2 linked regions of the Daphnia pulex genome follow. The protein of the gene in region 1 interacts with the protein of each later gene in a biochemical or structural test. Links are inferred from orthologs where the notes say so. Each region holds a gene or a part of one and is shown on either strand. Other genes may lie near its edges. The genes, in order: peroxisomal biogenesis factor 19-like and ATP-binding cassette sub-family D member 3-like.

Region 1 (3,433 bases):
ATGTCCCCCAAACGAACTTCAGCCGAATTCATTACCAATAGAAATTGCAGCCTAAATGTTCGTCCTGTAACTTTATCACATAAAGGTTATTAATCCGTTACAGCTATAAGCTGTTATCTAAAATGATTTAAAACTCTGTTAGAATATGGATCGCGTGTTTAAAACCAAAATTTTTTTATTAACTAGTATCAGGGGTGAAATTGGGTTGGTGCAGGTCATGTTGAATGTTTACATTTTTAATGAATGAAATACAGATGCATTACTTGCATTTTTTTAAGTTCACTCATTTTGATTCATACTTGAATTTCCATTTTATCAGCATTCAACACATTATGTGTCAATTATTTTTTTAAGCAATTGAAGTTTGCCTTAAAAAAAAAAATGACTCCACCATCTCGAAATCATACCAGGTAGGCTAGATGGTGAATTTTCTTGATTTGGTGAACATTCGCGATGTGTCATTCCAGAATCGGTAGTACAGCAATTCGTGAAGAAGAGAAGAGGAAGAATAAAACGAAGCAAGATATTGGAGGATCAGTGAAAACTACTACTCATGTATTGATTTTGGTATCAGCAATGGACAAGCACTATTGCGGCAAGGCAGACCACCGTGTACGTTATAGAATATCACAATTTTTACTGTCATTTTGTCGGAAGACATATTACCTTTACCAACTGAACGTACTTTTTCAAAATTCCTTCTTTCATAGCTTTTAATTTGGGTCTGGCAGGTAAGTGAAATTGATTTGAACTTTGAAGCAAAGGCGGGATGGTAACGACTGCTCGACTGGTAACAACGGGATATAACGACATGTTCGATGTTCTGTTTTCATTTGTTAAAGCAAGACTAAGCTTAAAGCAACCGCCCTAATGGAAATCTTTGATTTTGACTATGTTACGAAATATTACTGTTAGGTTTAGAAAATATTTATGAATGAGCAGTCGCTTCTGTTATTCAGAACAAAAAATACATTTTACTCTCCCAATAAAGACGCAAAATTCAAAACCTAAAAAAAAAGTGATTTGTTTTAATTCATTTTTCACGCCAAATATAATTTTAATAAACAAGCATTCATGAATCATGATGAAGCGCATCTGCTTCATTCACGCACGCACGAACCATCACTAAATACCGAATGATTTCGGCAACATCGCGTTTTATTTATGAGGTAGTATTTCGTCGTCTTGTCTGGTCTTGCACTCTTTTCCTTGTCGAAATTTCCGGATGAGCAAGTTTTGAAGCCTGTGTCGATATTATTGATATCGAAATCTATTTCTACTTATACAATTCTGTACTTTGCTGTAAATAGATACATTTCAGTATGAGTGGAACCGGTTCTAATGATCCAAAGTCTGTACAAGATACGGCAGATATTAAAGAAGAATCTAAAGGAGATGACGAAGAACTAGACGCTTTACTTGACGGTATGTAGTTTAAACTAACTAGTTATTTGCCAACAAAGGAATAAAACATTCATTAAATGTAACAGATGCCCTGGAAGGATTTGACAAGCCACTGCAAGTGCCCAAAACAAAAGACAATGTTAAAGCCGAAGCAGCAGCACCTACAGATCAAGTATCAGATGTTGTGTGGTCTGAGGAGTTTATTCAAGAAGCGAGTTTGGAATTTGAGAAAAATATTCGTTTGATGATGGCAGAAACAGCACCAGGGGCCAGTGGTGATTCTGGATTTGCTGAAAGTTTGTTAAAGGTATCACAAGAAGCTGCAGCTAAAGTATTTGAAAGACAACCAGACCAGGGAGCATCCTTTGCTGATACTCTACGCTATTTAGCAGAAGGAACAGAATCACTTCAGGTAAATTTTTGTGGGTAGGATAAACCAAACTTTTTTATTTTTACTTTAACATGTCCTTATTTTTTCCATAGACTGAAGCTGATGAAGCTACATTAGCCAAAATGCTTGAAAAAATGGCATTTGGACCAGATGGGGGATTTGGAGATGGTGCTGGTGGAGATATGGGAGGTTTGGGTGACATTTTACCTGCAATGCAAGGAATGCTTCAAAGTTTGTTATCAAAGGAGTTGCTTTATCCATCTATCAAAGAGATTGTTAGCAAGGTAAGCATTCACTTGAGAACTGATGATAGTCAATCTTGTCTCTCATAACTTATTGTTATCTCCTTAGTACCCAGATTGGCTCGCAGACAATCGGCCGAAATTAGAACCTGCGCAATTTGAAAAATACAACCGCCAATACGCCGTTATGCAGCAAGTGTGTACCGAATTCGAAAATGATAACGACACTGATGATGCAGCGACGAAAAATAGTCGCTTTGAAAAGATATTAACTTTGATGCAACAAATGCAAGAATGTGGCCATCCCCCTAAAGTGAGTGCGACTACGAATAATTTGATTGATTTTCATTTAATGAAAAATCTTAATTTCAAGGAACTGGCTGGTGAAGCTGAACTGCTACCGAATCCCTTCGGTGGCGCGGATTTTGCTCAATCGATGGGACCTGGTGCCGAAAATTGTGTTGTTATGTAATTAATATAGTATGTTATAAAACATGTTTTTGTTATTGAAATTGGGCTATAAAAGGTATTAGAAGGTCGTTAAAAAAAATTGTTTGAACGGCATTACAACTTAATTTTATCATTAATGGCGTCAATTCTCAATGATTTAAACAAATACGTTTTGTATTTACACGTATGACGAACTTGCCCGTCTCATTTTGGATCGTTGCTCACACTCTGTTACAAGCTTATTAAGTTCATCAGCCGAATAGCCCAACAGTTGTTTGAGGTCACAAACAAATTTATACACAAATCGTTTACCGCTTACTTTGCAAATCATATCGCCATCATAATAATACCTCAGGGCTCGACTGAGTTTCTCATAGTTCATGTGTGGTTTGTTTTTCCTTTCTCCCCATAGTTGAGCCACCATTTCGGGGTTATTTAATTTGAATTCTCCTCCTGTCCCAAGCCAAGAAATAGCATCCCGGAAATTCACATCGGTCAACAGCTCAAGGAGAAACTGCCAGAGTTGTACCTGGCCATTGCTGCCTGTGAAACGGACAAGTTAATTCAAGTTAAAATCACCTTGATCATTAAAGCATACATATACTATATTTTTTAAATACCTGTTCGGTTTCCTGAGTTAGCAATCGAGAACGAACGCGAGGAAAATGTTTCAAGGGGAATCCTTTTTGCTGGAGTAACAACTTTAACAGGCGGTCTTGGCATTCTGGAAGTATCAGATTTAACTGTCAATGGAGTTGTGATATACTGAAGATAAGGCACTGGTTTTTGAATCACCCCTGCATAAAACTTTTTAGTACACGTTTGCTATCGTAAAAATTCAAACTTTGATTCAATACCGACAAATTTGCATTTTCGTAGTAGTTCGAGATGGGTCCAGAATAGATCATGGTTTGGATCTTTTGATGAAGGATTTTTTGGTATTCTC
Region 2 (4,598 bases), on another chromosome or scaffold:
AGCGAACTGAGGCTTATGGTAAAATAGTCGTGCCATCTGATATCGAAACAAAAGAAAAACAACGTCGAAGAAGATGAAAACTTGTTGTCGTCCAGGGAAACAATCAAACTTTTTCAAAGTACAAAATGCAATACTTACGGCAATCCGTTGTTTCTCACCGCCACTGAGCACATCCATCCAGTCGGCAACAGCGTCCCAACGGCCGTCTCGTTCTTGGATGTAAGTCAATTTAACCAGATCGAGATATGTGAGCAAATCGTTGTCATGAATTCCTTTGCGCACCATGTCATCATAGGTGTCTGGATAAATCACTTGATCACGCAATGAACCTAAAGTCATGTACGGTCGCTGAGGAATGTAGAACAACTTGCCCGGTCCCGGTTTAGTCAAGGTACCACCAAACACCGGCCACAGCTTCAATTATTCAAAAGAATCCAAGAGACAAGTGCATCAGTGGTTATTGGTCAACATATGAAATGAAACGTATCATCGATTTTCCTTACCTCTCCCAACACTCTGAACAAGGACGATTTACCACAGCCATTGGGTCCACATACGAGCACGTTCATTCCCGAATGGACTTCAAACGACATGTCTTCAATCAGGACGTCGCCGTTGGGTGTTACCAAGGGCACGTGCTCGAAATGGATAATATTGTCCTTGTTGATGATTCGACCAGCTCCGGGAATCAAGGGCACTCGCGACACAACTTTTCCTTCACCTAAATGTCCACATATTTTCGAAAGAGACAAAATTCGGGTTAATATTTTCTTCCCAACACAAGTAGCATTGCAATTCAAACCGTTCTCATTGGAGACCATAGTACGCTGATATCGGCCGTTATTCAAATCTTGTAAAACAGTAATTAATTCAGTCACACGCAATGTGAATCCAGCCAGTCGTGTTAGTTCTCGGCCTGCCAGAACCAAACGGCCGATAGCTTCAGCCAACTTAACCAACATACGACCACTTTTGTAGTATTGCTATAAACGGATTAAAAATGTTAAATTAAACGGTGATCGGTGTTTCTTTTTTCAGTGAAATTTTATACTTGCCTCCAAACGCTCACTAGATCCAGCGGTGGACAGATGATGTGTCGTACTAAAGAACGGGCGACTAACGACAAAAAATCCTACGGCAGTTGCAATATCTGCCAATTGAATGGATCGATAGAATAAATTCTGTTTGTTGGGTTCAGATTTTAATTTAACCTACATTTAGCGATTATGTTGTCCACAAATCCCATCGTGAAACGGAATTCCAAAAATCGACGGAGATGTCTCACCTATCAATCATGAACGAAATGATACTGGTTTGAAATAAAACAAACAACTTTCAAGGTAAAATTACCAAACGAGTGAATGCCGTCAACATCGTATGCTTTTCACGAACGTTTCCTCGATAGAAGGCCACCTCTTCGGCGTTGGTGATCAACCGCGAATTGACGTAGCGGAATTCACCCTCTAGTTGTTGCTCCGAAACCGTCATACGACTCACTGGACGGCGCAAGTGAGTCAACAAGACTCCGGAAACGAACAAATAAAGAACCATAATGCTAGGACCCTAAATTAAGCAATGATTAGGTAAGGTATGAATTCAAAAATTGAAAATGGTTTTACTTGTCCACCAATTGTAACAGCCAATCTATGAACATAGATGACAATGTCCAAAATAGGTTTGCTAATGTTCGAATAGAGTTCTGTGATGCTCGAGCAGAATCGTTCGACATCGGTTGTAAGTAGTTGATCCGGATTTGAAATTCGGTTGTCGAGGTTGTTCATTTTGTAGTATGTGAAATCTCTGTTGCAAATCATTGCTGTTCAGCGTTTTGTTTATAACTTCATTATAACAAAAAATACGTACTTTAAGTATTGGTCATAGAGATGGCGAGTCAGTCGAGTTCTAAAGCGGAGTTTAAGTTCGTCCAATCCAAGCTAAATGAAAATATCTGACTTTTAATTTCAATTTGCCTTAACACAAAAGCAAATGTGAACTGATATTTTGGAATTGGGACTACAGTGAAACCTAAAATGAAAATTCATTTTACCTTCAAGACATTGTTCACCATAGAAATCTAAACAAAACACAAAATAAATTAAAATTGCTATGTTGGAACTGACAAATTTACACTTCATACCATTGGCATTGCTGCAATGAACTGGATTACATAACTTTTGAAAAGTGGAAAATTGCGCCCAATAATAGCACTGCATTACCAAAAATTGCATTAGATAATTGGAGGTGAATAAAATATTGCAAAATAATAACCTTTCAATTGATGTTGAATTCTGAATCATCCATATATCACAACTGGATCTGGCTACTAATGCTGCAGCCACTAAAATCATGAAGCCAGCTTCAGGTGAAAATACTCCAGGTATGATGATACGCAAGATGGCAGCAATACGTTTGATGAATGTACCATCGATTGCCACCTTCTCAGCTGACCTTTTGTTTTTCTGTGAAAAAATTGTTAAAATTGCTTTGCAAAACATGAATATTTTAAATCCTTACCTCGTTGATGACATATTGAATTCTTTCAGCAGCAGCAGCTCTGGAAACAAAAGAAAAGAGAGTAAAACACTTGCCATACAGGTTTTTTTTTGTAATATTTACCTTCTGTTTTGATTAGTTCTATGAACACTAGCAAGCCACAGCAGAAGTGCGAGGCCTCCCCCGGTAACAGCAATCGGTTTCCCCAAAATACTAGACAAAAAGCCAGGGCTTTTGCTAACTAGTTTACTGAAGACTGGAGCCATAGCTGGGCAAAACAGGTGTAAAAAAAATATTCTTCCTTTATCACTCCTTCACCACGATTATTGTGTCGAGTCACGGTAGGTAGCAGAAAACTTCAAAATCCTGTAATAACCATAAAACACCTGAGGCTTTTTATCGGTACACGAACTCGGAATTTCCCCGACCTCAGACTTGTTAAAAAATAAAAGGCATGCTTAGGGTCCAGCGACGACATCTAGGTAGCAGGTTGTTGAACTGAATTTTGTCGAGGTTTTTGCTTTTAATTATTTTTTGTCAAGTGATGGTGTAATTTTTAAATAAAAGAAATAACGCTGATAATGCTGATATTTGAATCTCCATAAATCAATGTAATTCGTTCACTTCGCTTGTAAGCCGAATGCGAATTGCAAAACGTCACGCTCACGCTCTTGGTTTACCTAGTTCGGTTCCACTAGATGGCGAGGATATATTTTTTCCCCAACAATTACGACATTATTCCGTACTTTCGATACTATTGTGCGTGTGAGTCATATTGGGAGCAGATGACAACAAGCCGAAGATGGTCGACAAATTAGGTAAATTATCGAATATTTTAGAGAAATTTCAAATTGGTTTTCAAAACACGCCACATTCCTAGTTTTCAATGTCAATCAAGAGTAGTTTTCCAGTCTCCTTGATGCTGTTTATAGAGACATTATTGGAACTGGTTCAAGTTACTACGTGAAACTCATATGTTTTTTACGTTGTTACAGTGAACAGTGAAGCAAATGCTCGCCGAATCGCCATGGTCGAAGGCTGCTTCGGCAGTTCTGGTCATGTGAGTAGAAAATGTAACTTTTCTTTTGTTAATGGAACCTGACTAATGGCATTTATATTTGACATGTAGCCTCTTGGGATTCCAGGGCGGGTGTTGGTTGGTGAAGGAGTCTTGACAAAAATGTGCCGGAAAAAGCCTAAAGCTAGGCAGTTTTTTTTATTCAATGATACATTGGTTTATGGAAACATTGTGATTAGCAAAAAAAAGGTAGTAATGAACAAATATTTTTCAAATCATAACATCAATTTTAAGAAATGTTTACTTGTGCTGGTAGTATAACAAGCAACACATTATCCCTTTGGAAGAGATTAAACTTCAGTCTCTGGAAGATGATGGACGTAAGTAGAAAAGTTACCGTTACTAAAATACCAAATTTTTTAATATTATTTTGGTGTTTTAGCTTACAGGAATGGTTGGTTAATTTGTACTGCATCAAAATCTTTTGCTGTTTATGCTGCCACAGCAACTGAAAAAGCTGAATGGATTGCCCACATTAACAAATGTGTTGAAGACCTTTTACGCAAAAGTGAGTCTTATTAAAACACTTTGAAATAAAGTTGACTTCACTGTAATGATTTAGGTGGGAAGAAACCGCTAGGAGAACATGCCGCCGTGTGGGTTCCAGACGCTGAGGCGAATGTTTGTATGCACTGCAACAAGTCACAGTTCAATGTGTTAAACAGAAGGGTAAATATCGGAATTTTGTGTAGTATCAAGTGATATAAATGTTTATTTGTTTTACTTTTTGAAGCATCATTGCCGAAAATGTGGAGCAGTTGTTTGTGGCCCGTGTTCCAATAAGAAGTTTTTATTACCCGTTCAGTCAGCCAAGCCTTTAAGAGTCTGCCTCACCTGTCACGATGTTTTAACTAAAACCAAAAATAATGGAGGACCTAATGTGTCTTTGAGTAATTCAAATATTATCGCTTTTCTTCTTTATTCCTGTAATATTAATTTTTGCATCTTCGTAAGACGGGGACCTGAGCATGGATTCTTCTGGTGAAGATGACGACGACGATGATGAGGATCCAGAAAATCTTTCTTC

The links.
Region 2: the proteins of peroxisomal biogenesis factor 19-like (region 1) and ATP-binding cassette sub-family D member 3-like form a complex in vitro, tested with the Homo sapiens proteins (4 studies listed by BioGRID and IntAct, with this or other methods). The link is inferred for Daphnia pulex from reciprocal best matches to the Homo sapiens genes PEX19 and ABCD3.

The regions. Positions count from the first base shown.
Region 1 is NC_060022.1:6,085,378-6,088,810, forward strand, and holds peroxisomal biogenesis factor 19-like, read left to right. Parts: upstream 1-1,165; 5' UTR 1,166-1,322; coding exon 1,323-1,425; intron 1,426-1,490; coding exon 1,491-1,816; intron 1,817-1,887; coding exon 1,888-2,079; intron 2,080-2,146; coding exon 2,147-2,350; intron 2,351-2,410; coding exon 2,411-2,509; 3' UTR 2,510-2,624; downstream 2,625-3,433. Other genes in the region: DNA-binding protein Ets97D-like, read right to left, coding at 2,666-3,030, 3,108-3,284, 3,345-3,433. UniProt on the Homo sapiens protein: Necessary for early peroxisomal biogenesis. Acts both as a cytosolic chaperone and as an import receptor for peroxisomal membrane proteins (PMPs).
Region 2 is NC_060017.1:3,002,779-3,007,376, forward strand, and holds the start of ATP-binding cassette sub-family D member 3-like, read right to left. Parts: upstream 2,946-4,598; 5' UTR 2,760-2,945; coding exon 2,617-2,759; intron 2,555-2,616; coding exon 2,515-2,554; intron 2,460-2,514; coding exon 2,269-2,459; intron 2,208-2,268; coding exon 2,138-2,207; intron 2,075-2,137; coding exon 2,048-2,074; intron 1,935-2,047; coding exon 1,864-1,934; intron 1,801-1,863; coding exon 1,620-1,800; intron 1,564-1,619; coding exon 1,351-1,563; intron 1,286-1,350; coding exon 1,216-1,285; intron 1,151-1,215; coding exon 1,056-1,150; intron 984-1,055; coding exon 504-983; intron 415-503; coding exon 139-414; intron 37-138; coding exon 1-36. Other genes in the region: pleckstrin homology domain-containing family F member 2-like, read left to right, coding at 3,296-3,311, 3,489-3,553, 3,623-3,760, 3,828-3,891, 3,954-4,079, 4,134-4,240, 4,305-4,461, 4,526-4,598. UniProt on the Homo sapiens protein: Broad substrate specificity ATP-dependent transporter of the ATP-binding cassette (ABC) family that catalyzes the transport of long-chain fatty acids (LCFA)-CoA, dicarboxylic acids-CoA, long-branched-chain fatty acids-CoA and bile acids from the cytosol to the peroxisome lumen for beta-oxydation.